2 linked regions of the Pelodiscus sinensis genome follow. The main gene of each other region encodes a partner of the protein of the gene in region 2 in a complex. Links are inferred from orthologs where the notes say so. Each region holds a gene or a part of one and is shown on either strand. Other genes may lie near its edges.

What was found.
Region 1: the proteins of GIPC1 (region 2) and PLXND1 are in contact, whole or in part, in a crystal structure (PDB 5V6T), measured with the Mus musculus proteins. The link is inferred for Pelodiscus sinensis from reciprocal best matches to the Homo sapiens genes GIPC1 and PLXND1. Residues at the interface, in NP_061241.1 of Mus musculus: His61, Glu141, Ala142, Leu143, Gly144, Leu145, Thr146, Ile147, Thr148, Asp149, Asn150, Gly151, Phe156, Lys158, Arg159, Arg190, His191, Tyr192, Glu193, Ala195, Arg196, Leu198, Lys199; in NP_080652.2 of Mus musculus: Glu1400, Met1889, Glu1893, Arg1899, Gln1902, Gln1904, His1905, Glu1908, Ile1918, Tyr1919, Cys1921, Tyr1922, Ser1923, Glu1924, Ala1925.

The regions. Positions count from the first base shown.
Region 1 is NC_134721.1:20,124,176-20,139,830, forward strand, and holds the start of PLXND1 (plexin-D1), read right to left. Parts: upstream 7,928-15,655; 5' UTR 7,759-7,927; coding exon 6,457-7,758; intron 1-6,456. UniProt on the Homo sapiens protein: Cell surface receptor for SEMA4A and for class 3 semaphorins, such as SEMA3A, SEMA3C and SEMA3E. Plays an important role in cell-cell signaling, and in regulating the migration of a wide spectrum of cell types.
Region 2 is NC_134729.1:10,600,375-10,615,721, forward strand, and holds the start of GIPC1 (PDZ domain-containing protein GIPC1), read right to left. Parts: upstream 6,547-15,347; 5' UTR 6,396-6,546; intron 1-6,395. Other genes in the region: DNAJB1 (dnaJ homolog subfamily B member 1), read right to left, coding at 11,316-11,546, 12,038-12,606, 14,629-14,839. UniProt on the Homo sapiens protein: May be involved in G protein-linked signaling.

The sequences.
Region 1 (15,655 bases), on a different chromosome or scaffold from region 2:
TTGCGCAAAAGGGCTTATTCCTGAGCAGGAGCGTCAGAGTTTTGGCGCAAGAAGCCCTGATTTCATACATTAGAACGTCAGTTTACTTGCCCAAGAACAGGTGGCCAGTGTAGACAGGCAGCAAGTTTTTGCACAAGAGCGGCCACTTTTGCGCAAGATCGCGCCAGAGTAGACACAGCCTCTGAGGCAAGTTGTTAGAGACAGGCTCTCTCAGCTCAGGAACTTCTCCACTAGTAACTGGTGCAAAAACAACCACTGTGTCTTTGTTCCAAAATCCTTCCTTAAAATGTATGTCTTCCAATAAACCTACCAGTCTTAGCCCACTTCTTTCAAAAGTGCTTTAACAAAAACCTTTTATTAACAAAACGCATAATAGCAACCCTCTGATAATCTTCCTCCACTTTTCTAGAGAATCTGCATAGGTGATTTGTCTGCCATTTAGACCCCAATTTAGCAGAGCACTTAAACTTGTGCTTAATAAGTCAAAGAAACTACTTATAGGCTTAAAGTTAAGCATGTGCTTAAGTAATGTACTGAATAAAGACCCCCAACTCCTTGTACTGCACCGAGCACACTGTCAAAATGCAATTTATCAATAACATAATAAATAACAAAAAAAAAATCTTCTAGTAAGATCTGCAGTACTCTGTGGAAGAAACATAAGCAAAATCTACCCAATTAGACTTGTCTATTTTTCCCTCTGGGCAAAATGTCTGTCCCTCAAGCATATTATTTATTCGTTATTATTTATACAGCACTATAGGTGTGCATGATGCTTTACAGACAAGCACAGTTCCTGCCTCCAAAATAACTTACAGTCTAAGGACCTGACCACACAATCCACTACTTCTCACACAAACAGTCTTTTTCCTGTGGGTCCCACTGACTTCAACAGGATTAGTCATATGAGCAAGGTTTTCAGGACTGAACCCTGGACTTCTTTCCAATCAACACCCCCCATAACACTACTCATTCCATGTGCTGTAATACAGAATCTCTGTAACCTATGTTTGCAATGAATCAGCCAGTCATTTCAGATTTTTTTAAACTCATTTAAACCTCCCCTATAATCTATAGAACCACTTAGAAAAACTTAAACACATTTGTGTTATATGTGGACAACCCCACCCCTCAAACCTGGGAACCCACTAACTGCTGAAAAAGTGGAGCTTATAATAGAAACATGGATAGACCCTTAGCTAAAACACCATGCCAGCAGCAGCTGTAATATATTTTCCTGCTGTGTTCCCAGGGCTGGGATGTAAAATGTATTAGACCATTTCATTGTCTCGAAGGTAGAAATTGGTGTTAGATTTTTTTTCAGTGCAAAGAAACATTATATTACAACCCTCATCTTGACACAGTTGCTTGGGGAGTTTGAAATAAAAGCAGCTTGTTAACTTGCTGGCAATCCTTATGATTAAGAAAAAAGTGGAAAAAACTGAAAAGCTCTTCTTCCAACTAAATGGCATGTAAGAGAGCTTCCAGCAGACTAGGTCAACGTTTCTAGAGATTTGCACTTCAAGTGAACGGGAAATGAACAAATATTAAGCAGGAACAAATATTAATAGTATGTTGCATTTATGTACTGCTGAACCTTCCATGCAAGGAATACAAAGCACCTTCAAAACAGGAATCATTAACACCCAATGAAGTAAAGCTCAGTTACTACAGTAAGATAATTTTATAGATTGGTTTACTGAGGCACAGGGAAGCAACTTGCTCAAGGATATACAGATAGTCAGTATCAGGATTAGAAGCTGGTTCTCCTGATTTCCAACCCTAAACTATAATCACTAACTTATCCTATTCCCCTTATGAAAATATACAGTTTGATCCTGCCAGGTGCTGAGTAATTCAACTCTGACTTCAATGGAAGCTGAGGGAACTCAAAACCTTGTGGCTTCTGCCACTAAATGCCACATAAATCGTTTAACCACACTTCTAACAACATAACTATTCTTAATAAGTTTTCATTATGGAACAAATAATCTTCTTAGTCATCGTTACATATAGATAAGATCCTGAGTACAGCATTCATTTCTGCAATCATTGAATCAATACAAAAATTAATTAAAAAGAAAAGATGGATCTTGTCAGTCCCTGAAGAGAAGTCACCTGCTTTACACTATAACCCTAGTTTTCATCTTTGCTCTGACACTGAGTTCATCTGCAGACTAGGGCAAATCTCATCATCATGCTATGAACAGCAATAAATACATTAACGTGAGTGCCACATAGAGGCTTGAGAGGAGCATTAATATGTATAAAGCGCTTTACAGAGGGAAAAAATCCAGATATTTTAAGTGCTGATAAAGAATGGCTTATTCATTGTTATTAATTGTTGCCTCCAGGTGACTATAAATCAGAAAAAATCTGTACTATTCATATAGGCTGGGATTTTCAAAGGAGTCTGAGGAAGTTAGTTAGGTGCCAGGTTGAGTTTCAATGGAAGTTGGGCACCTAACTCCTTGGGGTACAACTACACAGCAACATTATTTCAAAATTACTAGCGTTATTTCAAAATAACTTAGTCCATGTCTACAGAGCAGGCAGTTATTTTGAAATAATGTCAAAATATTGTCAAGCTGGAGTTCTTACTCCAATTCCTGTAAACCTCATTGTATGAGTAAGGGAAGAGGAAGAGTGTTCTATTTCGAAATAAGTTCTGTGTGGACCCTCCCAATTTTGAAATAAGCTATTTCAAAATAAGCTACGCAATTGACATAGTTCGAGTTAAATTCTGTTGTGTAGACACACCCTTAGGGTATGTCTACATTGCATTCCTCTTTCGAGAGAGGAATGCAAATGCAGCTGAGTGAAATTGCAAATGAAGCACGGATTTGAATTTCCCACGCTTCATTTGCATAATTGCGTCCGGGCGCTATTTCAAAATACCCTATTACGAAAAAAGAAACACTTTCTAGACGCGGTTATTTCGAAAGAAACCCCTTCTTTTGAAATTACCCTTACGTCTTATAAAATGAGGTTTAAGGGTTATTTCGAAAGAAGGGTTTACTTTCAAAATAACCGCATCTAGACAGCGTTTCTTTTTTCAAAATAGGGTATTTTGAAATAGAGCCCGGACGCAATTATGCAAATGAAGCACGGGAAATTCAAATCCGCGCTTCATTTGCAATTTCGCTCAGCTGCATTTGCATTTCTCTCTCGAAAGAGGAATTCGGTGTAGACATACCCTCAGTGTCCCTGGAAAATCTCAGCTACTGTTGCCTAATCCTGCAGTCATTGCTCACAATGTGCCCCTGAAAAGTGTTGAGGGCCTGATTGTTAGGGATACTGAGCAGTATACCCAGCATGTCAGTGGAAATCATTGAAAGTGTAGGTGTTCAACAGCTCTGGAAAATCAGGCCCTCAACTCCCACTGGCTACCATGGGAGCAGAAGCCCTTAGGACTGGATCCACACCATTTAATGCACTGTGTCTTTTTGTGGCATTAACTAAAAGCCACAATGGTTACCAGATTTTCTGGCTGTCTGGCAGCTTGTACTTTGCCACCAAAGGAAAACAATTCAATGTCCCTAAGCCAGTCTATGAACTACGGCATTAAGGCTACCTATTGTAACTTAGTATGGGGCTGCCGTTGCCAAACAGACTGGTTACCATAGGAAACCTTTCTATCATTGCACTGTGAAGCACAGAAGCCAAACCCAAGTGCTCTGTCTTGCCTGTGAAATCAAACAGATGTTTTTATAATCTTTGATGGAGCCAAGTTTTGCCCTTTTCCCAGCAGAAGAAAAAAAAGACACAGTGCTAAAGCAGCTCTGTTGTTTAATAATTTGTGACTTTTGCTAAAGGGGAAAATAGGCATCTTTATCCGGCATAAAAATTTATATTTCAGTGTCTTTGTAGCCATGTTGATCCCAGGATACGTGGATACACGGCAGATGAGGTAATATATTTTAATGGACCAAATTTTGTTGATGGGAGTGAAATGTTTTCAAACTTCAGAGAGCTCATATTCAGATCTGGAAAATGTAACCAGCTAACTACAAGATGGGACAAATTGTTAAACATCCAGTAAACATATGTTGCCAGAAACCACTTAAAATAAAGTGGGCACGAGTGATAATTTCCAACCTGAGTTTTGTAAAGCTCAAAAGCTTGTCTCTTGCACTCTTGTTTGTCTCTTAGTTCAATAAAAGATATTGCCCTCCCACCTTGCTTCTATTAACATTCATGTCCACTTAGTAACAATTTGTGACAATGGTAAACTTGCACACCAAATGCAATGAAACAATTCAGCCTGTGTTCCCTCTCTATGTACTGTACACATCCTGCACTGTCCTGCTGCAGAAATATACAGAGGGACGTGGGAAGAGAACAGCTACAACTGAACACACATTCTTAGAGCTGCCTTTCCTCCATGTCTGTACAGAGAGCAACAAATGAAAAGAAAGAGAAAAATAAAGTCTGTGAGTCACCACTAGTTCACTGGGGACAGGGAACGTGGGAATAAAGATGGTCCTTGATAAAAGAGGGGGTGGTTGTATGTATGCAAAAACCACTGCATGTTTGACTTCATAGTAAGCCACGTAGGAATCCAATTGATTGTCACAATGAACCTAAATTTACACATGGATACTGAATTAATGTAAATCATTGCCAAAAAGGAGCTTATTGTACTCAGCATGTCTTCCTCAATTTTCTAAATTGTGTACATAAACCAGAATCACTCATAGTGATGGATCAGAGGAGGCTATGAGATGGATTTGAACAGAGACAGTCCTGGGAATGCAGAATCCACATACAAATTCTAACACCCACTTCAATCCAGGGCAGAAGTTTGGCTTCATACTACTGTAAACCTCTGAGAGAGGTCTGGGTTTGGCTGCTGACATACTCTTTCTCAACCATCACCCAAATCCAAAGTCTGACAGGGATTCAGGTGCTAAGGTCTGGGATAGACCATTAGAGCCTGATATGCATCACTGAAGTCTATGGAGATTTGCAACAGATTTTAATGGGGTACAGTGTGCAAGTTCACACCCACAGAGACTCAGGCCTGTACACAGGGCGAGTGCAAAGGGTGCGAAAGCACCCCCCATGGTCCCCTAAGTAAGTATACTCCGCAGGAGCAGTGAGCTGTCTGAGCCTCCCACAGCCATGCTTTGACCAGCTGAGGGAAGGCTGGGGCTGATTTCCCAGCTTATGTGGGGGACCATTGGGGTGCATTTACACCCTTGTGGTCCACATTTACAAAAAAAGCACATACCCCCACAGAAATGCGTATGGGCCTGAGACTAGTTATAACATTCCGGTCAGGCTTTTGGTTCTGATTCCAAGCACCACCAACCCAAAGTCCAGTGGTTCTCACATGCAGGCTTCTGACTGAATCCCATCTCTAATTTGCATTTATACGACAATGCTTATGTCAGATACACAGATATGTGAAAGCTGTATCACTTTCGATGTTTACACTGGATTAGACAAAGCACCGGAGAATGGACTGAAGAGAACAATTCCAATGGACAAACTAATAAATCTTTTCCGCCTCTCACTTCCATGATTCTCAAATCCCACCAGACTTCAACCTGATGGATTGTTATCACTTACTCAGCTAGTCAAGAAGGTTCACGGTTATTAATCCAAACATGAGACCCAATTCTAAAGTCCTTACAATGATTTTAAAAGTGTTTTGCCTGAGTAATAACTTCAAGATTGGGACCATGGAGAATCCAGTCTCAGCCAAGCATTCCAGTCTATGCACTGCTGGATATCAGCAGGGGCTCACCACACTGTCTGTTTGGGGTGTGCTGAGCCCTGTCCTGCAGAGCTCTAGGTTGCCTTTTACAGTCTCTCATCTACTAAACAGCTGGGTTTCTGCCAGCAGGTGGTTTCCCTAGGATAAAATCATCTCACTGTAGTGTAGTATCACATGGATTACCTAACTTTTTTCCACCGACAGGGGGTTATAGTGCCTTGAACCACACCCCTTCTGCCTCAAAATCTGCTCTCTTGAGCTGCACTTTTATCAGAATTAGGGGCTCTCCCCAGTAGGGATTCCCCAACTCTGCACTCTGATCTTCCACAGGGACATATCTGCTCCCTGCGCCACGGCCCTTGAAAGGGAACCTTCCAGTTTCTCACCCTCTACAGAAGAGGTGTCCCACCATCCTAGAAAACTAAGCTGCGGCCTTATCTGGGGCACCTTCCGAACTTTCTCAGTGGTTCTCCTAATGTTGGGACTCTGCTCTCCTGGACTCCGCTGTTACCTGGGTCCCCACGAGGGTGGGCAACTGCAACATCCCAGGAGTCTCGCTCCCCATCCCAGAGGAGGAATCCCCACTCCTGAGATCCAATATCAGCGAGGATGCTGAAGCTCCCCTGAGCGGGGCAGCGGGGTCCCCACTAACGACAGGCGCGTCTCCAGAGCTGCCTCCCTCCCACCACAAGGCTGCCCAGGGGGGGGCCCGATCCCAGCCCCCCGCCGCCTACCTGGATGTTCCTCTTCTCGCAGGCCGGCCCGGTGCCCTGCACCACGCTGTCCAGCACGTCCACCCGCCCGGAGTCGGGCTCCACGAAGCACGAGTGCCGGGCCTGCCGGATGCGCCGCTCGATGTCGGCGAAGCGGAAGGCGCAGAGCGCCGAGTTGTGGCGGGCCCCGGGCGGGGCGGCGCCCTCGAAGACCCCGAAGAGCAGCTCCTGCGGCCGGGCCCCTTCCCCGCCGGCGGGCGCCAGCTGCAGGGCGGCGGCGGCGGGGAAGACGGAGAGCAGGCGGGTGAAGCCGCTGCCGCCGCCGGGCCCGCACTGCAGCCCCAGCTGGATGTAGGACTCGGTCAGCTTCTTGGCTTCGCCGGCGCTGGCGTTGCGGCCCGGCTCGGCCAGGCAGATGCGGGCCAGCAGGCTGTGCGAGTGGCTCTCCTTGTCGCCGGCGTTGGCCTCGCTGTTGAGGGCCAGGTAGGCGTAGGCGGCGCCCCTCAGCGGCGGGGCGGGGTGCAGGAAGGCGCGCACGAAGCTCAGCTTGTGGCGGGCCTTGTGGCCCTGCTTGATCTTGAAGATGTTGTCGTCTGAGGGGTTGAGGTCGAAGGTGAAGAGCTTGGCCAGGTCGCCGCGGGCGTTGAGGGCGCGGATGGCGATCTCGGGCGTGTTCTCGAAGCGATGGTCCTCCAGGCTCTGGTTGCGCGGGAAGAAGGGGCTGCCGAAGCCCGTGTAGGTCGCCCCCACCAGCAGCCGCGTGTCCCGCCTCCCCGCCGCCGGCCGCAGCACCAGCCCCACGGTGGAGGCGTTGGGGTGGTTGGCCGCCACGTTGAGCATGCTGGGGAAGACGGTCACCGGCTCCCCGCCGCCGCTGGCGCTGCCCGGCGGGAAGCTCACGGCCACGGCGGAGATGTTGGCCATGCTGCGCAGCTGGCAGAAGCCCTGGTAGATGGAGCCGCACACCACCACGATGCCCTGCTCCGGGTCCGGCTGCAGGATCTTGTTGTAGTTGTTGGTCAGCCGCCTGGGGTGCTCGCAGGAGGCCTGCGGCAGCTGGGGTGCGTGGCACAGGGGGTTATCCGGCACCGGGCCCACCTGCTCCTCCACCTCCAGCGTCAGGTTGGGGCCGGAGAGCTGGTAGAGCCGGTTGACAGCCGCCAGGTAGATCTTGCTGCCCGGCCCGTCCAGAGCGAAGTTGTTGGTCAACGTGGGCGAGAGGAACTTGTGCTGCACCTCCAGGCCGGCGTTGGGGCTGGCGAGGAGGGCCAGCAGCAGCAGGAGGGGGGTTAGCACCTTAGCGCCTCTCTCCCCGGGAGTCATCCTGCCGCCTGGGCTGCTGCTCTGCAGAGTGCATGAGGCTCCACGGGAAAGGGGGCTTTGCAAAGCCAGGGGAGGAAAACCTGCTTCCTGCGAAGCCAACACGCCTCAGCACTGAGTGACGCCAGGAGGGAAGTCCGGAGCTTTTGTTGCAATCGCAGCCTTTGCCTGGTTACTGGACCTTCCTCTCTCTCTCTCTCTTCTCGCCAGCGCGGAGATCGGATGGGGTTAAACTCCCGATCTCGTCTTTGCAAAAAGCAGCACCCTCCCCCCTCTCTCTCTCTCTCTCTGACAGCTCCGCTCTGCCTGTGAAGCGATCCGCCGCTCTCAGACTTCTCCTCTCTTTCGCTTCTCTCCTTTCTGCATTACTCATGATGTGTGTTTTTTTTTAATTTAGGGTTTGTCATGTGAATATGATTAAGTTAAAGATATTTTCCAAAAGCTGGAAGGCAAACGTCGCACCAGCCAACCACACAAAGAGACAGCCCTTGTTCCTTGATAGCAGCTCTTCTAACAAATAACTCTTGTGTTTGTGTGTGGGGGGGGGGGTCGTGTTTCTAATCAGAATATGGGACTGAAAGGGAGATAAGAACTTTTTCTCGTCCGGACATAAAGCAAGATTGCAACCATAAGTAAAAATAACCAAACAACATTCATTTTTGCCGACCCACTCCTATCCAGTCTTCCCTCTCCCCCCCCCCACTTCCCACAGTCAAAATAGGTTAACTCTCAGTGCTCTTGAAGTATTGCACTCCCCATAAAGAAGTTGTACAAGAAAGGATAACAAAGAAGAGAGGTCAGACTGTCTGGAGTTGGGGGTCAGGGATAAATTAAGTGGACAAATATTTCAAGTATGTAAGGGTGGGGGGATCTCTACCAATCCCACTGTATTTCAGTCACTGGCGCCATGCACTGCTTGTTGTTTTAATTCCCTCTGTTGCAATGGAGATGTGTTTGCACTGAGCTGCTCTTTATTTAATGTGCTCAAGAAAAGCTGACATCCCCCAAGCTTGAAATCTTCTACTCATTCCCAGGGCAGGTATAGCACAGGCAGCAGAATTCCCTGACACTGCTCTGATAATGTTCCTGAATCCTATCCAAGAAGACTTAGGAATGAGAGCTTAGTAGGGATCGGGTTGGGGTAGTATACCTCTTCCATCTGCACCCACAAAATAAACTCTGCACCTGTGAGTTGCTGCTCACAGTAGATTGTGCAGGTGTTCAAATTATAATTGTGCATATTCTTTGAGCTCCATTGGGCATCTTGTGCTTGGTTTATTTGCATTAGGTACCCTATGGAGATAACACTCAGTTGTGCAGGTCAGAGGTCCTCTCTCTTCTTTCAGATGGCTTTTCTACACAGAAAAGTTATACCAATATTAGTTAAGGTGTGAAGTTAAACTAATATAGTGAAACTAGCGTAATGCCTACATGGACCCCCATTCCAGTGTACAAGTACCTTTATTGCTTTAGGATAGGTTTAAAAGAACCCCTCCACTGCAAAAAAGCAACTCTGATACTGGACTAAATGTTTACATGGAGTTTAAATCAAGACAGTTATACTGATTTAACTATATACTTATACCACTATATATGGAAATTTTTTACAAGATAGACAACCTCTTACATGTAGAATGAAATAGTTAACAATTTTGACACAAATTATCATCACTAGACCTCTGAGTTTACCCCTCACTAAAATTCAGGGTTTTAGAACTAATGTTCTAATCTGCAGGCTTTCTGCAGATTGACATAGAGATCTCTGCCTCAGTTACCGAGTGCATGTTGATAACGTTTACTGTGCACTCCTACTAGCTAGAAACTGATTTATTTTTTTGAATGAAAACAGATCAGAATTAAGAGGTATTTGTATGCCAATATTGGCTGAATGTATGCCCTGGCATTCAGTCTCTCTTTCACTTTCATTGACCTTTCTACAGATTTTCCCAATTTGGAGAAGTTTTGTGTGTGTGATGTGAGCACCCATCCTCTGAAAATAAACTGAAACCCATACCAAACTCATTTAATATAATCACTAGTTGCTAACAATGGGCTGATTGTTTTCTCCCTCAGGAAAATCAGCAGGATAACACTAATGTGGAGAAAATCTCAGCAAGATTTCTTCCTAATTGTTCCATCAGAGGAAGAAGGGTAAGATTGTCCTGGGACTGGGTTGTCTTATCACTCTTTCAACTTAAGCTGGAAGGAAATGAGGTAGCTCCAAGCCCCACTTCTTGTCTGCTCACTCCCCAGTGTGGAGCCACAGACTTATCGAGCGTCATCTCTGAGATCAGAGGAGGACTGAAGTGTCCTTCATTCTTGTAGTTGTATATTGTCACAATAATTGCTGTACATCTTAAGGCCTTGGTCCCCACAGTTCTTTGGAAGTGTAAGAATCTTTGTTTCTCTAGGAAAGTTTCTATCACTTGTGGTTCTGAAAAAAATCTTGGAAACATAATCTGTTAGTTAATGCCTATTACGCCCGCTGGTGTGTAGGGCAGCAACGAAGGTTCTCCATTTTTTGTTTGTCTTTGGCCATTTTCTCCAGTGTGTCCCAGTTGTAATTCATTCTCTTCATGTCTGACTCAACAGTACGCCGCCATGTTGTCTTGGGGCTCCCATGTTTCCGTCGTCTTTCAGGCGTCCAGTGAAGTGCTATCTTTACAATGGCATCTGCCTCCCTTCTCATCACGTGCCCTATCCATCTCCAGCATTTTCTCATAATGATAGTTGTCATGAACTCCTGGTGGCATCGCAGGAGCAGGTCGTGGTTGGAGATTGCATTTTTTGGCCGAAAACAATGTATCTTACGAAGGCTGGTGGTGTGAAAGGATGAGAGTTTGGCACGGTTGCACTCTGTCATCTGCCAGCACTCTGAGCCATATGGTAGTGTTGATATGACACAGCTCTGGTACAGCTTAAGCTCTAGCACACCTTAAATAAACCAAATGGTAAATAAAATAATACTTATATGTATTATCTTGGTGCCTTCTTCCACTAGGGAAGGGTGTGAGTTGTGCATTGAGAGGCCTAACCATGCATAGATCAGGGGCAGGTAGTTAGGTCTGATGTTTGGTCACTAGACTCCTGGCAGGCTCATACTAATAGATTCTGTGCCTCTCTTTCAATATCGGGAGCCATCCCTGTGCCTGGGCTGTTCTCATGTTACTTCAGTTATTTTCACTTATACAAAACATATAATTGAGACTGATGGGGATTTTGGATTACTCGTATTCTGGATAGAAATGTCCTCTGTTGTCTAATCTCATTTCTACACCTGCTAGCTTCCTTCACCCCTTTCATGTCCCTTTCACCCATTTCAGAGCACTAATTAATACATAACTGCAATAACCATGCGATGTTCACTGAAGATGTGCATAGAATTAAATAGTGCTTTCTCATTAACTCATTGTCCTTGCTAATCATAACTATCCATTACAGATATTGGTTCTTTTTAAAAAGATTGTTTGGGGTTTTTTATTTTCAAATTTTAAATACTAGAGTATCATTAACTCCCCAGAACTAAACTCATGCTCTAAAATATAACACTACATTATATTTAGCACCTTCCATTCTAGGATGTCAAGGGCTTTATAAATGCTGGCTAATTAAGCCCTAAGTGTGAGGCAGGTAAGTATCATTATCCATATTTTACAGAAGGAAAAGCTGAAGCATGGAGGTCTTCATTTTCCAAAAAATTGACGAGTTATGTAAATGCTTCTCTTTTGGGGAGCCCCATCCCATAATCTGTCTTTTTTAGGGTTTCCTACCACCACTCATTACCACGATATCTGGTCTCCTTCCAAATGAGATGACCCTTTTAAAGGACCTCATATTAGACACCCAAAATTTTAGGCAACCAAAATAACAAGTAATATCTGAAAATTTAGCCCCAGGTGAATAAGTGAGTTGCCCAAAAGCATATAGTTACTGGCCTTGTCAGGGTTAAAAGCCAAGCATCCTGACTTCCAGTTTACTGTAATGACTACTTTCCTACACTGATATAGTTTAAGCCAAAATATTGGTAGTATTGCAAGATTATCAGGTAAATATTTCATTTTTGTTGTTGTCAGGAAACAATCCTCTGACGAGATGCTTTGAGGATGATTTTTTCCAGAAATGCTCATTCCCATTATTACTAGTGCAATTGGAATCCCTAAAGAATATGTTCAGATAATGCTATTAATAGAGGAGTTTTAATCTCCACTATGCAGCTCGTAGTATTTTTCTTTGTTCAGAAAGGAATGAAGGTCCGAAAACAACCAACAAAAAAAACCTGTCTATGCCTCTGAATTTGGACAATTACCCCCGGCCAGAATCTGTTTCTGTTTGACACTTATGCAGGTTAAAAGATAACATCTTTTTAGACAGGGGGAGGGGGAAGTGTGTGTGGGGGCAGGAAAGGTGTGTGTGTGTGTGTGTAACAACTCAAAACCATTTTAATCATTAATAAATATATTTACCCAAGCACAGATGTTCTATAGAGAGAACATGAGTTACTCATGCACTTACTCAGGTTATATTGACTCAACATTGTCAAACAGCAGGCTCTGTGTCTAGCCCTTTTACTATGCTGAGTACAAACATCTATTTATTTTCCTGGTTTTAGCAGCAAGCTACCAGAGCACAGCTTGACTTTAGGGGGACAGCTCACAATTCCATGTTGGAAATGAACTGGTTTGACTCAGCAGACCCAAATAAATAACCCACCAAGCTGACCATTTGGAAGAAAGAAAGAAAGAGACTGGTTTCTAGATATAACACGTCATTCAATGTGTGACACTGCCTAGAATCAAGTGAGTTCTCCAGCATTCAGTGCTGTTTGTCTCTCACACCATGTCTTCCGTAGCATGGTCGCTATGTTAGGGATAGAAATTCTAAGAGAGTGTCTGTAGCTTAGTACACGGAGCACCTGGAAATCAGAAAAAAAATTTTTTTTTTGTTTATTGTACAAATAGTATCTGGAAATGGTTGGCAGTTTCCCAAGCCTGATTTAAGTGTTGCCTGGTGTGTGTGTGGGAGTGAGAGAGAGGTAGATAGAAGTGTTGTGAGTAGATTTGTGCAAAACTCAGAAGTTTCTTCTTCATCTTCTTTTTTGTGGCAGGCTGTAATGTGGGTGTGCTTTGGGCTTGACATGACCTCCATTTGTCTGAGTTGTGAAACCAATCTCAAAGCAAAAGTTCACTCAAAATTGATGAGTTTCACCTGCAAACATAAGAGAGTGAAAATTTTAAGTTAAGTCCAAATCTGCCACCGGCATCCCATATCCACTCCATTCCTAGGGGCTTCGTCTACACTTCAGGCTTCTTGCACAAGAACTTTTTGCGGAAGATATCTTCCACAAAAAGGTCTTGTTCAAGAGTTCATCCACACTGTCATGTGCTTTTGTGCAAGAGATGCACTTTTGCGCAAGAGAGTGTCCACACTGCCAGGGTGCTCTTGCACAAGAAAGTTCTGATGGCAATTCACAGGATGGCCATCAGAGCACCTGTACTTTTTCCGATAGGGTTTCTTGTGCAAGATACCCCTGTAGTCCATCCACACACACCTTTTTGCTCAAGAGCTCTTCTAGAAAGAGGAATAACTCTTGTGCAAAAAGCCCTGTCTTCTGACAATCTACTGTACTTTTTCTTGTGCAAAAACACGCTTGTAGTGTGGCCGCTCTGTGAGTTTTTGAGCAAAAACTCTGCAGAGTAGACGTAGCCCAAGGGTATGGATGGGGGCGGGAGAGATCAGCAGGAGCCACATTGGACAGTGAGGAAGGATGGCCACAGGGGAGGCCTTTAACCCCACAACCTCTCCAGTCCTCACACAGACTAAATTAAACTGGCTAAGTTAGCTAGACAAATTCATACTGAAACAGAGTGATTGTCCACTAGAACAATTTACTAAAAAATCATGCTAGGAAGCTTTTATGAGAGAACTGCTCCTGGAATTATTTTGGAGAAGTTCTGTGGTCCGTGTGGTCAGATTAGATGTTTATAGTGGTCCCTTCTGGCCTTGAAATGCCCTTTCTCTGTGTCTATAGGTTTTTGATAGGAGAGGGGGCTCATTGATAGAAGTGGGGCAGAGAGGGAAATGTGGCTCACGGGAGAATGGGGTTGGAACAAGAACAAAAAGAAAAGAACTCAGCAGGAATTGTCTCTAATATGGATCTGATCACTGTGCTTATCTGCTGCTCCCACATCTTCTCTCCTTTGCCTAGCTTTGCACAGGGGGGCTGTCTAGACTGGCAAGTTTTTCCGCAAAATCATCTGCTTTTGCGGAAAAACTTGCCAGCTGTCTACACTGGCCGCTTGAATTTCCGCAGAAGCACTGACGATCTCGTGTAAGATTATCAGTGCTTTTGCGGAAATACTATGCTGCTCCCATTCGGGCAAAAGTCTTTTTCCAAAAAACTTTTGCGCAAAAGGGCCAGTGTAGACAGCAGAGATTTGTCTTCCGCAAAAAAGCCCCGATCGCGAAAGTGGCGACTGGGGCTTTTTTGCGGAAAAGCACGTCTAGATTAGCCACGGACGCTTTTCCGCAAAAAGTGTTTTTGCGGAAAAGCGTCCTGCCAATCTAGACGCGCTTTTCCGAAAATGCTTTTAATGGAAAACTTTTCCATTAAAAGCATTTCCGGAAAATCATGCCAGTGTAGATGTAGCCGTAGATTGTAAGCTCTTTGTGGTTGATTGGCCTCATCATACATATTGTATCAATTAAGGACCTGCCTATTGCACTTCAAGGCACTCAAACAATGGTAAGGCAGTAAATAGACCAATTTATTTTCAATCCTTAGCAAATCTTTGAACAATCATTGACTGAGTTTCTAGTTTATGAATTTGCATTGCAATAGCTGTTTACAGTGCAACCAGGCAGATTTCATATGGCTAGCCTAGGTGATTTATCAGAAAGAGTAAGACAGCATCTCTTTGCTACAGATCTTCCTCACTAAACAGAATTTAGAGAGTGGGCTTAGGTTTGCTGCAAACAAACCCTTACAGCTGTGGCTGTGAGTGCAGAGAAGTCATGGCGGAACAGCATGGTTCTGATAGCACTGAGCTGCAGGCCCTCACTGCTCCTCTTAGCAAAATAGCAATTTATTGGGACCCTGAGAAGTTTTTAATAGAATCATATTTTTTTTCTCCTCAAGCCTCGTGTTCATAGATTAGCCTTTTTCAGTGCAATACAGAGCATCACAGGCTGTGCAACACAGGCAGTCCCTTGTAGCCTCTTTCACCCATCAGGCTAGTACATTCAGGCTACATCTACACTGGCAGCTTCTTGCTCAAGAACTCTTTTGTGGAAGAGTTCTTGTGCAAAAACTCTTCCACAAGAGAGCGTCTATACTGGTATGTGCATTTGCGCAAAAGCATCCATGGCAGTGTAGGCGCTCTCTTCCGCAAGAAAGCTCTGATGGCCATTTTAACCATAGGGGCTTCTTGTGTAAGAAATTCATGTTGCCTGTCTACACTGGCCTCTTCTGGAAGAGCTCTTGTGCAAGAGGGCTTATTCCTGAGAGGGAGTGTCAGAGTTCTCGCACAAGAAGCCCTGATTTTCTACAGTACAATGTCAGTTTACTTGCGCAAGAACGTAGCCAATGTAGACAGGCGGCATGTTTTTGCACAAGAGCAGTCATTTTTGTGCAAGAACGCGCCAGTGTAGACACAGCCTCAGTGTTTTGTCTGCAATGATGAGCTGCCTAAATACAGGTTCTTACCAGGAAACTATTTTCTTTGTTAACAATGGAGGTGAACATTTAACAGGGATAGATTTGGTAGATCTGAATCTACAGAAGTTCTAGTTTAATGCAATGGAAATACTTTTGTAGGTTATGAGATCACTTATTATAGCTCTTTGGGGAGAAGAAAGAGGTGGTCTTGCAGCTCAAGCAGCACTGCAAGACTCTTGAGAGTTA
Region 2 (15,347 bases):
AGGCACCTCCAGAACCACCCCCCCGCATCCAGCACAGACCCACATGCTCCTCGCAGCGCTCCCCAAGAGCGGCTTCAGCTCAGGCTGCAGAATTTCTCCACATCTGTGTTCTCACCCTAGCTGCCCAGCTCACTCTGGATTCTCCTTACACCCTGTTCTGTGCCCATATCTGTCTTTCCCCCACCCTCTTCTTCCCTATGCTGACTAGTGTCACCTCTAGCTCCCTGCTTCCTGTCTCACTGCATCTACCATTCACAGGAGGCCAGAACTCACCCTGTCCCTCTGCCCATTTTAAGTGGCAGTTTCATGGGACACGGCTCTTCACTTCCTGGTGCTAAACAGTCATTTGGAGCCACACACATTTCGGTATCTCGGCTACAGGGGAGCGGTCCGGCGCAGCAAGATGGTATTGGCCGGCAGGAGCCTGATGTGACCAAAAAGCCTAACCTGTGGTTTTTAAAGGGGAAGCATTTTTTTTTGGCTCAACAATTCTGGTGAGTCTCTTCGCATTTTTTCTGCCACTGTTTCGGGTCTCTTTGTTTAATGGGTTGGCCACCCCTGAGTTAATCGATTAAAAAGAGGGCGGGGCAAGAGGCACTCCAGCCCTTACCATTCAGGGTCAGGCTTACTAGAAAAGGTTAGACATTAATATCCTTAGTATCTGGAGATCTAGCGGAGACCTGCTTCCAGAGATTCATACTCAGCACTGAACACGTCTTACTATGGCTAGGCCTATCATAACTCATTCATACTGTTCTAGAGAGCAGCAAACAGAACAACTAGGGCTGTCAATTGACCTGCGTTAACGCCTGTGATTAACGCAGGACAGGACTAACGCATGAATTTTTTTAACGTGTTAATTGCCAGCGTTAATGCTGCGCTGCCCCTTTGAAGTGCCGCTCTGGTGTTTCCAAGGGGCAGCACATTAGGAGCTTGGGATCAGCCGGGGACTCCAGCTGATCCCTGGCTCCGCTGTTGCAAAGCCCCTTTGAAGCACCAGAGCAGCACTGCAAAGGGGCTTGGCAACGCTGAGCTGGGGAGCTGATCCCAAGCTCCGAATGCACTGCTCCTTTAAAGTGCCAAAACAGCACTTCAAAGGGGCAGTGCTGCATGGAGCCAGGGGGATCAGCCGGAGTCCCCAGCTGTTCCCAGGCTCCTAACGTGCTGCCCCTTGGAAATGCCACCTTTTGGAAATACCACTGTGGCGCTTCCAAGGGGCAGCGCTGCATGGAGCCTGGGGTCAGCTGGGGACTCCAGCTGATTCCGGGCTCCATGCAGCACTGCCCCGTTGAAACGCCACCACAGCATTTCAAAGGGGAGGCACACACGATTAATTGCGATTAAATTTTTAAATTTCTTGACAGCCCTAATAAACCACGGGAGGCCAAGTTCTTACAGGACCCAAGTGGCCAGACAGACTCCCTAATTTAAAGTTTTAACTTCAGAGTATTGCACACATCAATCAGTTTGGGGCTGCTACTTCTTTACACTTAACTTCTGCACCTGCCAGAACTGGCAGATCACTTATTTGTCTAAGACCTACCCATAGTTGCAGTGCAGCTCCATATGTACTCCACAACTTCCTGGTACAGCAATTCATAGTCCTGCCTTTGCTTTTAGGGAGGAACTAGAGCTCTGTTTGCAGATCTCCTGAACCGTATTTGAAATGCTAATACCATAAAGACGGGATATAGACATTTGTTGGGTGGTGTGCAGATAGAGTGAGCAGCTTCAGTTATTGTGCTCCACAGCAGAGGGGGCTGCATGTTCAGCAGAGGGTGAAGCTACCCCCTTCTAGAGTGCACAACTATTTGCCAAGTCAACACAGAATTACTAGGGAGTATTTGGAACTTTAGGGCCAAGTGGTTACAAAAATCATTCACAATTCAAATGAATCAAGATGGCTGGAAATGCTTGGGGGTGAGGGGAGGGGCTTTCCTCAGCAGCTGGGTCTGGGGCCAGAGGCTGTCAAGTGGAAAGAGATAACAAATGGCAGTGCCCATTAAAGTGGCATATCTCTCCTGCCCCAGGAACTTGTGACCCTCACTGTGGAGACAGAGCTGGGGGGCCAGCCTGATGGGAATAGAAAAAAAAACCAACAAAAAAAAACAAGGTTTCTCAAATTGCCCAGTAAAAGTAGACATTTTTTTCCATGTGGGCATGCGTCAATATCATGACTGATCTAGTGGCTAAAGCATAAACATGGGACTGAGGAGCTCTCAGTTCAGATTTTCATTTCCACCCTAGCAGGCTAAGATGCTGGGCAAGTCACTTTCCTTTAACGTACATCCCCCAAGAGGTGCCTCAGTTTCCCCCTTTGAAATGTGGAGAGTGATGCTTCTCAAGTGAGGTTCATTTAGCACAACCTGAAAATTCTGGGATTTGAAGGGCAGAGTGAAATACAAGTTTGTTTATGGCCAGAGAAGAAATCAGCAACTGGGCAGTTCAGTCATGCATCTCAAACTTTTACTAGCCTCTTTTCCCCAAGGCTAAACTGAAAGTGCTGCAAACACCAGCAGTCCCTAATGCCTTCTTGTTGAAGTGAAAGAAAGCTAATCCCCATCGGGGCTGACAAGGGATTAGAACATGAGCAGGCAGAGAGAGGGAAGGAGCAGCACCTGCTGCTCTCAGGGAGCAAACCTGCCCCAAGCATTCCCCACCATTCCCTGGGAGCCTGAAGGCCAATGGAGCAGGATTGAATTTGGGGGATAATTTGAGCCATTTACCACACACAGCTGAGAAGCTCCTCTGCGTCTCCCCAACTCCCTGGCAGCAGAGTGTGTTGACCTCATTTGAGGCATGATCAACATGGGGACTGATTATCTCATTTGCTTTGTAGCACATGTGTGTGTTCACTGTGTTGCCCTCATGCCCCATGTCACACTTAGAGGGGAAACAAACATCTAAAAGGGAAACAATAATTCCTGTTAATGTGCCAGAGACAACTCCTGCAAAACCCTTACCATCTGCCTTTATTAGATGGGAAAAGGGAAAGGAGAGGAATAGGCTAAAAGATACTAAATAGACAAGCAACAAAGGAGAATTTCTAGTTGATTTTGCACAGCAAACTTTGAATTGTAGAATCCTAGGGTTGGAAGATACCTCAGTAGTCATCGAGTCCACCCCCCTGCTTAAAGGACAACTAATCCCAACCAAATCATCCCAGCCAGGGCTTTGTCAGGACTTAAAAATCTCTAGGGATGGAGATTCCACCACCTCCTTAGGTAACCCATCCCAGGGCTTCACCACTCTCCTAATGAAATACAGGCAGTCCCCGGGTTACATGGATCTGACTTACATCGGATCCCTACTTACAAACGGGGTGAGGCAACCCCGCACTAGCTGCTTCCCCCCAGCAGACCAGGGAGATGCGAAGCTAGCGCCCCCCCGCAGCAGACCAGGGAGACACGGAGCAGCTTTTCTCAGCAGACACCTCAGCTTGAGAATAAAGGTCTGAGGGAAGTGAGGTGTGGGAGAATAGAACTGAGCTCTGGAGAAATGTTTGGCTAGAGTTTCCCCTACAATATGTACCAGTTCCGACTTACATACAAGTTCAACTTAAGAACAAACCTACAGTCCCTATCTTGTACGTAACCCGGGGACTGCCTGTAGTTTTTTCTAATATCCAACCTAGACCTCCCCCGCTGCAGTTTGAGACCATTGCTCCTTGTTCTGTCATGTCACCACTGAGAACAGCCTCTCTCCATCCAGTTGAAGATTGCTATCAAATCCCTCCTCGCTCTTCTCTTCTGTAAACTAAATAAGCCCAAATCCCTCAGCCTCTCCTCAAGTGTCATGTGATTTAGCTCCCCAATAATTTTCACTGCTCTCCACTGGACTTTCTCCAATGCATCCGCACCCTTTCTGTATTCGGTGCCGAATAAAGGGGAATAATCACTTCTCTAGATCTGCTAGCAATGCTCCTCCTAACGCACCCCAATATGCTGTTATCCTTCTTGGCTACAAGGGCGCACTGTTGACTCATATCCAGTTTCTCATCCACTGTAATCCCCTGATCCTTTTCTGCAGAACTGCTGCTTAGCTAGTAAAGATAGGATAGTGTAAACCAGGGTTTCCCAATCTATGGGTCCCCATTACATTTCAAAAGGGTCACCAAGTGTCTCCCCAGGTGACTCTGCCCTCCCTCCTCCCCCCATTTTTGAATTGCCTTGGGTCACCAAGTCTTCCTGAATTGTCAAAATGGGTCCCCATCTGGAAACGTTTGGGAACCGCTGTTGTAAACAGCGGCAGCAACACTGAAAGCGGGGACAGGCAGAAGCTGGTGCTCACAGGGAGTCAGCTTTTAAGCTGGCTCCCCATGAACACCAACTCCCACAGAGCTGCCTGTCCCTTCCTGAGCCCTGCTGGCTCCTCGCAAGCACTGACTCCTAGCTGTTCCCCATGCCCCACACTGCTGCCTCTGAGGGGGGCAGCTCTGAGGGAGCCACCTCCCCCCTCATATGTAAACATGAAAAATTCAGTGGTAACAAATGTTTACAAAGATAAATGCATTTTAACATCCCTATTAGCCAGTTGGTCCCCAGCCTGTAACAGTGCTTGGGATTCTTCCTTCCGAAGTACAGAACTCTGCACTTGTCCTTGATGAACCTCATTAGATTTTTTGGCCCAATCCTCCAATTTGTCTAGATCACTCTGGACCCCATTCCTACCCTCCAATGTATCTACCTCTCCCCCTAGCTTACGGCAATCCATCCCCTTATCCAGGTCATTAATAAAAAAGTTGAACAAAATCAACCCAAGGACTTTGGGCACTTTGCTTCATACCAACCACCAAACAGATATTGGGCTCAACGGGTAGTAATCAACAGCTCGACAATCTAGCCAGCTTTCTATCCACCTTACAGTCCATTTATCCAAGCCATACTTCTTTAACTTGCGGGCAAGAATACCGTGGAAGACTGGATCAAAAGTTTTGCTAAAGTTAAGGCATATCACGTCCACCACCTTCTCCATACCTACAGAGCCAGTTACTTGGACACAGAAGGCAGTCAAGTTTGTCAAGTATGACTTGCCCTTGGTGAATTCATGTTAAACTTAAGTTAAAACCTTTTTGATCTTTCATATAGGCAGAAAAACCCCAAACCAAACCCAAGCCAACTTACAGGATGCTGCCCCTTCTTCTGCATATGCATTTGGAGATTCCATGCTGCCCATTTCTATTTTAGGACTTTTGAGTGGCAAAACTTAAAGTGCTTCCAATATACATCAACTAATCTTTGTTTACCCCCATGAGGCAGGTGGGTCTTACTTTCCAGATAGCTAAGTGGAGTACAAAGTAGGGATGCTAATTTTGATTAATCAGCTAATCAAGTAGCTGATAAGGGGAGAGTGTAGTGCTTGCTATCCCCGTTGCACCTCTGCCTTTTAATGGTAGACAGAGCTGCTCCAAGGCTCTTACTACATTTAAAAGGCAGAGGCACAGCAGTCGGGACCTGGTGCGAGTGGAGACTGCTTCAGTACCCCACTCGTGCTGTTTGCCCTGCTGCACCTCTGCCTCCCCTGCCCCCTGCGGAGCTAGTGCTCGGGGGAGGGGGGAAAATCGGCTTTTAAACTAGCTCCCCCCAGCACTGTCTCATGCTCCCCCTCCCTTTGCTGCTTCTGATACAGAGGCAGCAAGAGGAGGGGGAAGTGACTAGTGAGTCAACTATCCAGTAAGCCTAGGCTAATTGGGTAGTCGACTAGTCGCTTATGTCCCTAGTATAAACAAGACTTCTTGGTCACAGAGGGAATTAATAATGGCACTGGGAATGTAACCTGCTTTAACTGTAAGGCGGTACTTGGACACAGGGGCAGCACCTCAATCATGCCGTTTATCCTACACAAGCTTGCAGATGCATTTGCATAAAGGAGGGAGCTTTCTAGGGTGATTACAGGAGGGACCTGAGATCCAGGATTTCGTGGGTACAATTCCCAGTTCCCCCACTTTATAGCCTTCAGTTAATCCCTCAGGTACCATGAGCCTCCACTCCTCAAGGCCCTCTGAGGCACAACCCGCACAGGCCATCCTTCTGTGCCAATGCACCATACACACCCCGTCAAGGGCACATCAATCACATCCTGCGCAGAGCCTGACCCCCCCTCCACACACTCCAGCTGGAATCCCATCCCTGCCACAGCATCCTCTTCTGGGGGGCTCCTGCCCAACTTAGGGGTGAACAACCCCTCCCCCCCAGCCAGCTGTCCCCCCCCGGAACTGATCCCCCCTTCTGACCCTCTGCTCCCCTCCCCGCAGCCGAGGGCACCTCCCCCCACGCCCATCCCCCCTCTGCTCCTATCCCCCCCCAGAACAGTCCCCCTCCCCCCCACTGCCAGGCTCCCACGAGCTGCTCCCACCCCCCCTCGGATCCGCCCTTGGGCACCTCCCGCCGACTCACCCCGTCCGCCTCCCCGCAGGGCTAGTTCCGCCAAACTCCGGCCGGGCACAGCTGGGGCCTGTCGCTCGGGGACGGGAGGGAGGGCTCCGGGCGGGAGAGGCTCCGCGCCCGCCATCCAATCACAGCACACCTCGCGCACCCTTTGGCCAATCCAAGCTGGGCAGGGCGGTGAACTGGGCGGTCACATTCTGGATCCATCCCCTCCATTTCCTCTCCCCCTTCGGGGCGCAATGGAAGCGTCCAATCTAAGAGAGTGTACGAATATGGGGGAGGAGCAGGCAGATACCATCCCAGGAGAGCGCGGAGCCCGAAAAGGAGCGAGAGTGGGAGCTACCATTCAGAGGTGGAGTTGCAAGATACTATTGAAGAAGGAGGGGGGACCCCCAGGAATTGTCATTGTTGACGTTGGCTACAGGAAACACCTACCAACCAATTCTGCCTCGGCAGCTTTTCCTGGCCAATCACAAGCAAGAACATAGAAAATAGCCAATCAGAAACTGGTAGGTGGAAGAGTTGGTAGAGTACCTAGACCAGGTGCATTACCCATCCTCCCCCTCCCCCTGCCTAAAACAGGGCTGTAGAGGAAAGGCTACAAATGATGCAGACCCAGCGGCCTGGTACGCGGATCAATACCTTCTCGTTGGTTCCTTATTGAGAGACGAGGTGAATGAACGAATATTGTTATTGGCTCAACTTCCGTTTTTAAAAGCAATGAAGGGAGGCATGCATTTGACATTCTCTCAAATCGGTATCCAGTACCAATTCCAGCTGACGTGAGAAACAGATGGGACAGTTATTCAAGGTTGAGACGTTTAGTATTGCATTTCTGAGCTTCCCGTGAGTACTTGTAACTAACAGGTGCTTTTTAAGGTGAACCTTTAATGATGTTTAGCTTTTAGCAGATTCTCTGCTTGAGTGGGTAATGGTTAATTGGTACCCGGGAGCAGCCTCCTCAAGCGGAGGGCTGCTTCAGACCTGCCGGCTCCGCCTACAGCCGCTGAAAGCTAGCAGCCCCATGCAGGACCAGGAGCTGTAGCTTTGCTTAGGCTGGGAGCCAGCAACTCCTGCCTGTGGCACTCCAGCCCAACCATGGTGGGGAGGGGCCCCCTTTAACTGATTAAACAGGATAATACATCCCTAGTTCCAACATTACTTTCCATCCCCGTTTCTTCATCTTAGCTTTACTTCACACCTACACCTCTTCTCTGCTGCCCCCACTCTTGCTTCCTTTCCCATTCAGCTGACCTGCTCCTGGCTAAACCCATCCAAAAGAAAAACTGTTAATGGAACTGGTATTTGCTGGTCTCACATAGTTCACTTTGCTTATTGTATTTCTTCCTCCATCCACTCTGATTTTGTTTTATTTAGAGCAGAAACTCTGCAGGATATCTACTGTTTGCACAGAGCCTAACCTAGTGGGACCCTATCTCAATTGGCCTTTATGCAGCAAGCAAATTGTATCATCCGCTGGCTGAGCTAGGAAGTTGCTGGGGGCCTGAAGACCACATCACAGCCACTAATTATAATACAGGTGCAATCCACTGCAATACCCTTTATGATACTGAGTGCATCGTGTGCTGGTTCAGGTAGTTTCATGGGTATGCAGGCCTGGTAGCTGCATGTGCGCCTTAACAGAATTTTCAAGGGTCAGAATGATCATGAAATGCTTTGGGTGAGCTAGACAGCAGCAAATTACATCTGCTTTCTGATCCTTCATCCAACAACCCTATACCAGAATCCCCCTTGAATATACAGCACGAAACATTTACCTGTATAAGAAAAGTGGAGTCTGACAGGAGTTGGATTTGTACAATTTCATTGTGTAAAGTTTCCACTCATGAAGACAGAAGGAGGTAGGCGCAAGAAACCTGGCTCAATACAGGGTTTTGATTGACTAAGCTTGAGGAACATCCTTAACAGTTATATAGAAGCGTGGAACATGGGATAAGGACATCAGATTTCATGTAGCAGTCTCACACAGAAACTGTGCCCTGGTGTGGTGTGAACTAGATCTAAAAACTGCTGCCCCTAACTTCCCAGTCTCTCCCCGATTTGTTACCCTGACGGGAGTAAGCTTTCATTTCCCAGCTATACACATAAATATGAGGTAATAATTGCTGTGCTACAGCAAATTCTCAAACTTATTAATGGATGTCACACAGTAGATATCTATCCTGCAGAGCTTCTGCTCTGTGAGACATCCATTAATGTAATGTCAGTCACTTCTATATAAGGAACTTGCTGACACAAGAGGTCAGTCTAGTCTACATCCGGTAGATGTAACCACATGGTAGAAGGAAACATGAGCAACTACTCTGCTCACAACCAAACAGGAGGACCAGAACTAGCATGAGGTAGTATCATTGAGTACCCAGTGAAGAAGACATGATTACAGAGCAAGGAAGCAAAGTGGAAGTAAAACCCACAGAGAAATTAATACAAGCAGCTGCTCTTGACAAAAACAAGGAAGAAACTGCTAGCTGAGATACAGCACTGGAAAAGAAAGAATAGAGAACTTTTTAGGTAAGAGACACAGCATATTGTCTATTGCAAACAGGAATCGGAGAGAAATTTATACATAAGACTAGCTCTAGTAAAATGTCAGAAGTACAACCAATTCCCCTTCCACACTTTATTTTATATCTTGAGGCTATGATGTAGATTTAACTGTTCTCCTACATCATACAGGCAAGGTCAGTAACAGTTAGGACTGTACATTCCAGTTAATCAGCTAAATGTTAGGTTGATGTAATATTTAGTCACTTAACTGAGCAGGAGCTGGGCTAGGGCCTGCTCCAGCCTGTGCCTAGGCTCCCCAACCCCCTGAACAGAGGCTATTGCGGATGCTGGAGCAGCCTGTCTGCAGGGTGCCAAGGCTGCCACTGACTGCTCTGCACAAGTGCAGCCCCTGCCTGCAGTGGCCAGGGAGCTGCTCCAGCCCCCACCAATCAACCAGAACTCATAAGCATTACCTATTTAAGCTTTCACATGAGGTAAGTAGTTTTAGAAGGGCAGTATCTTTGTTATGGAGCAAAGCCACCGCAGCTATGCATGCACTTTGAAATGGCATCTGCTGGGGGGAGAAAGAGATGGGAGCTAGCTTGGCTCAACTCAGACAAATGAAAGCAGTATAGTGCGAGTGGCCTGGAAGCTCTCCTATAAGAAAGAGGTATAGAACATCACCTTAAAGATGTTTTGTGACGCAAAACAAAGGAGGGCTAGAATAGCCTGAGTAGAGAAGCCCTAGCTTCCTGGTCCCTGCTTGCTCTAAGCTTTATTGTAAAAGTTGTGCACCACAGTTTTACAGCAGTGTTTCAGGACTAGTGCAGCTGTTCCAGCAAGGATCATGCTGAAAGCAGGGTAAAGAAAACATTCAGCACTTGAGGGTAAAGACCTATGTTCCAACCCTCTGAACTGTGACTGTCTGTGCCACTAATTCCGTTAGACACCACAGTCCATCAATGAAAAGTGCTAATACATTTTTAAAAAAGTGTTAATCACTCAGCCAGTATTCAACAAGAATAAATTCTAGCAGTGTTTTCCCATCTCTCTGAATTTTTAATGACATGTGTAGGTAAGTCCTTTATTCCAGACATCTAATCCTACCTGACATGCTTAGACTTTGAGTAGATTTTAATTGTGACAGATTAATGTCAAAGAGCTATCAGCTTGGCCATCCCATTACAAGATCACGGCCCAGGCAGTGTAGGATCATGCTCTGCCATTGGTTTGAGTAAGCATGTCATCACACCCTCTTTATCAGTGTAATCAATCCTGTAAAACAGCAGCTACCATAGTTTGTATTACACACAAAGTATACACATGAAGTGCCATAGTGCTCCTGTATCAGGAGAAAACCCTTTTTATCAAAAAAGGATAACTTGGGGGTAGTGCTACCAGTTCACAGTCCTGGTTTGGGGGGGGGGGGGGGGGGGGAAGAATCCAGAGTCCATTAGCGTACTGAATAAGTCTTTAACATGAAATTTGATATTCATCCTGCATGCAGGGTTAGTAAGACTCAGCATCTTCCTTAGGTACTATGTACCTGAAATGAAAAAAGGCAGCCCTGTATTTGTTCACCACATGACCAGGATCCAGACTAAGAGACCTTAAAATGTCTGGGGGACGGGGGAGAGAAGACTTTCATAGAGGGAAAACTTCAAAACGCATTACACTTGAAATGTAAAAAAAATATGTTTTCCCCCTAGACTAGACCTTGTTAACTTTGGTAGTTAGCCAATGTGTGAGGAATTTAAATTTAAAGGCTTACATTCTGAAAGACATTTAGGACTTCTCTAAGCTGTGACTCTCTGGAAACATTAAGGTGAAACACAAATTGTCTTCCAACACAATTGACAAAGAAAAAACTGATACAAAAAGCTTTTAAGCATGACAATGACAACTTACAGAACTAAAAATACCAGTTAACATTTAGTGTGTCCCTGTATGAAAAGCCTTCAGTATAGGAAGCGACAAGGGACACAGCATAGTACAACACCAAGGCAAGATGGAGAGTCTTTTACTTGCAAGTCCAGTTTTAGATTTGTTTCACCCTTTCCAATGGGGAAACTACAGCTCTGCACGAGAGATGAGGTGAAACAGATGCTCAGTCTATGGTTAGTCAGTTAAGTGAAGGCAGCACATGGAGCAGTTGGGTGGAAACTAGTCACCAGAAGAAAGGTTTGACCAGGAGATACAGATTCCTCCCACAAGCAGCTGCTCATTGATGTAAATACTTCAAGTGATGATCTGGGACTAAAGTCACTGAAAAGCGAATACACAATTTTCAAGATGGTACTCTTGGGGAAGAGTTTCAAAGTCCACACCCTCCACTGAAGAGAAACCCTGAAGTCCTGGTTATGGTCCAGTAACCTTTTGCTTTGGAAGTGTCCTTGTTTCAGTTCTCCATAAGCAGCCTTGCTATATTGGCAGGATCTGCTCTAGGACACTTTTGGAGGCCTGTGGAATTCTGTCTGGAAATTTTACTTCAAATTCTATAAAAAGGTCCCCTCGCTGGTCTGGATTCTTGGGATATGGGAGACCCTCTCCAGGGATTCGCCGCTTTATCCCAGGTTTAATGACATCCTTAAATACCATTGGGATGGTCCTGCCATCCAGCGTTGGCACATTCACTGTGCAACCACACAGGGCCTAAATATAAAAACAGGGAAATTAGAACAGTGTCAACATATACAATCTCTAGCAGATTTCCCAAACAACCAAATAGAAAAATGTTTCATTGCAATGGCCTGTTTATTCCAATTTGTTTCTTCTGAGTTACTGATGCAGGCACAGAGTAACAGTACCAGAAATTGTACAACTATGTTATATATTTGTACAACTGCTTGACCCACATTGAACTTTCAGTATCCAAACTGACCCACATCATTTTCAAAGTAGTTGCCAGTGATCTGCCATCTCTAATGGTGGTTTATACCCTTTGATTGTTCCACAAGGAAGTATCCTGAAGCTACCATCTTATTTTAGGCAGACCACAGAAGAGTTAGGCAGGTATCCTATTATGGATTAAAGCCAGATACGAAACAGGGTGCAGATAGATCTCAACACTTGTCACTTCCACTAGCCAAAACCCAACCCAATCCACCCACTAATCCCATACTGAATCTGGAACCTTTGCTTACCTCACGGAGGCTGATCTTAGCTGGGAAAATAATGTCAGATCCATCTCTCTTAAAGACATTGTGTGGCTTGTCTTTTAAAACAAAGACAATGTCAGCTGGAATGTTGTTTGCTGTTTGGTCCCCCTCTTTTGGAAAAGTAATCTTTGTTCCTTCTTTCCACCCTCGTTTGACTTCAATGGTCAGAATCTTGTCCTCATTCCGTGTGGTCTTCCCATCTGTATTAAGTCGTTTGTGAGATATTTTCATTTTCTTGGTGCAACCAGTATATATTTCCTCCAAGGAAACCCTCAGTTCATGAATGACAGGAGGGTCTTGTTTTTTGCGCATACTTTCATGGCCCGAGCGGGAACGAGGGAAACCCATATTACTAAAGCCCCCCATTTGAAATGTGGAGAAAGGGTCATCAACATCCATGTCTTCATCTCCATTCCTTTGTACAAAAAAGGTATCAAATGGGTTCCTGCCACCAAAGAACTCTGCAAACATAGCATGAGGATCTCCATGAAACGTGTAGCTGAATGAGGTACCATTGGAACTTCCGCCACTGCTGGGACCACCTCCCTTTAGTCCTGAAAAAACAGAATGAATATAATCCAGTGATTACTCATAAGAATTTATTAAACTCAAGATTTACCAAATGTCTCCTATATCTTTCTTAATTTCAAGACTCTCCTCATTCTTAGATCCTGGGAATGTCATTATTTAGAACTTTAGGTTTGATGTGCATCACCAAAGAGGCCTGCTGTCATCTTAAAATGGTGTCAAGATTCAGACCTCCCTAGTCAAAAAAGAAATTAGAGCCAAGTTGAAGAGCTCTTCTCTCTCAATTACTGAGTTTCCTAACATAATAATTTATAATCAACTGTATTCCTTTAATTGGCATTAAACCTAGCTCATCTATATAGAGCCATTGTAGCAAAAATAATTTAATCTGAGTGCCTGGAGACTACAACTATATTCTTCCTGCTTCAATAAAACACTGTTACGGAGCAAGTTTCATAATTTAACATACACAGGCAAACAAATACAGTATATTAGAATCTTCTAGTGACAAGCAAAACCATTCTGTAGTCAGCTCCGCCTCTTCTGGAAAAGTGGCCTATCAGCTCATATGGGGAAATCATTAAGTATTTACAGGAAAGGCAATGTAGAGAAACAAACATGGGAAGTCAGCAACTGAAAAGCAATTCAAAACACAAATTTTGGAAAATAATTTAAGGGAAATTATCTACAATTCTATTAGCTGGAAAAAGCAACTATTTTTAAAAAATATTAAAAATCATACTCTTTCAGCATCAGATGTTAACAGTTGAGTTGGCCAACCTAGCTGTTTAAATACAGAGAAATCTAGCTCCCTTGTTTGAGTAATCTAAATGGATGAGACTACACCCTAAAAAAAAAAAAAATCTGTACTAATGTTAAATTAGAGATTTGATGCAGACTTTTAATGCCTTAATTTGGAGGAAGTCAGGCAGGCTTTGCACATGGACTTCACAATAAGTCTCCCAAAGAGACTATTTTCCTTCCACTATTTGATCTGAGGAAGTGGGTCTGGGCCACGAAAACTCATTATCTAATAAACCATCTTGTTAGTCTTTAAAGTGCTACATAGTCCTGTATTTTGTTCAAAAGAGTCTGACACTTGTGTTTTATTAATAGTTTTAACAGGCTATGTTATTAATGCAACAGGACGCTCTGAGATAAAAGAAACTGGCTAATTCCTAAATTCACTAATAGGACTAGTTCTACTTCCTTTCACAATTAGCTCTGTACACATCTCCCTGTTACTATGAGTCTTATTTTTCTGACAGCCACTTCGCTATCCCATGCTACTGACAGTATCTACAGGCTACACGGGAAAGCTGAATCCCTTTACTGTACATGCCCATTCAGGGTTCAGTACTGTTCCCTGAAAACCAACTAGATGCACTCCTTTCCAGACAAAAATGAATGAATTTCAGAAGCAAAGGATTAAAGAGAGACTAGCCACTAGTAAATACTTTGCTTCTCTGTCACTCCCTGGATTGCATCAAGAAAGAAAACCACTCCATCTTGTGTGTAAGAGATACACAGTTCCCTCTCCACAAAGTTTGGGAGTGCCCCATTAGGACATATGTTCCTCTTCCCCAATCTTAGTGCTACCCCTCACTTCATGGAAAGTACTTCCAGAATACCCAGCAGCATGACATTCAGCTATTTCTAACCACCTCCTTCCTACCTATCACCAGGTACTAAGCTGCATCAGAATGTCCTTCCCACGGGTATGCGGTCTTCCCCGGAACAGGGCCTCCTCGCACAGAGGCTCTGCACCCCAAACCTTAGCGCACCATCCCCCTGCTTACCAGCCCCCCCCAGCGCTGCACCGCTGAAAGACAGCCCCCCCCCCCGCCTTCTTCCCCAGAGCCCCAGTGTATAGGGCGTCCCCCTCCCCCCATCACGTCAGCGCCCTTCGCCACACCACGGGGGCAGCCCCCCAATTCCTGCTGCGCAGCCCCCCCATCCACAGCGAGCGACACACGCCCCCTGCCCCATCTCCCCCACCAAGCTCTGCCGGACCCCCCCGCGGCCCGCGCCCACACGCCGCCCCTCACCTTCCTCGCCGAACTTGTCGAAGATCTCCCGCTTCTTGGGGTCGCTGAGCACGTCGTAGGCCTCGGCGATCTCCTTGAAGCGCTCCTCGGCGCTCGGGTCCTTGTTCTTGTCGGGGTGGTAGCGCAGCGCCTGCTTGCGGTAGGCCCGCTTAATGTCGTCGTCCGAGGCGCCCCGGGACAAGCCCAGCGTCCGGTAATAGTCCTTGCCCATGGCTCCCAGCTGCGCGTCTCACACCCCGTCAGCGGTTCCCGTCACTCCAGCGCGGCGCCCGCCGCCACCCCCCATTTATATGACGGGTGGCGGAACCTTCCAGAGCTCGCCACAGCTCTCCAGAACCTTCCCCGCCCGGACCCCGCCTCCCGCCCGCCTCCCCCAATCACAGCGCGGGGCCTGCCGCTCTCCGCCAGTGGGGACAGAGCCTGCGTCACGTGACCGCACACTTACCCCCCCCCCAGAGCTTAACCGTCGCTGAGACCACGCCCCTCACTCGTCATCAAGTGAGGGGTGGGAAGGGGACAGAAGCGCGCGCTGTGAGACCAACGGTCGTTGCCGGTCACTGTCCCGACTCCCCCCACTCTCTCAGGCCGCGAGCCTGGTGGGACCAGTTGCCGACTCTCCGAGCGTTCTCGCCCCGCCCCCAGGGGGGGCGGGGCCGAGCTGAAACCCTAAACATCAATTCTGCCTCGGCTTTCTTTTGCATCCTAGGCACTGACCACGC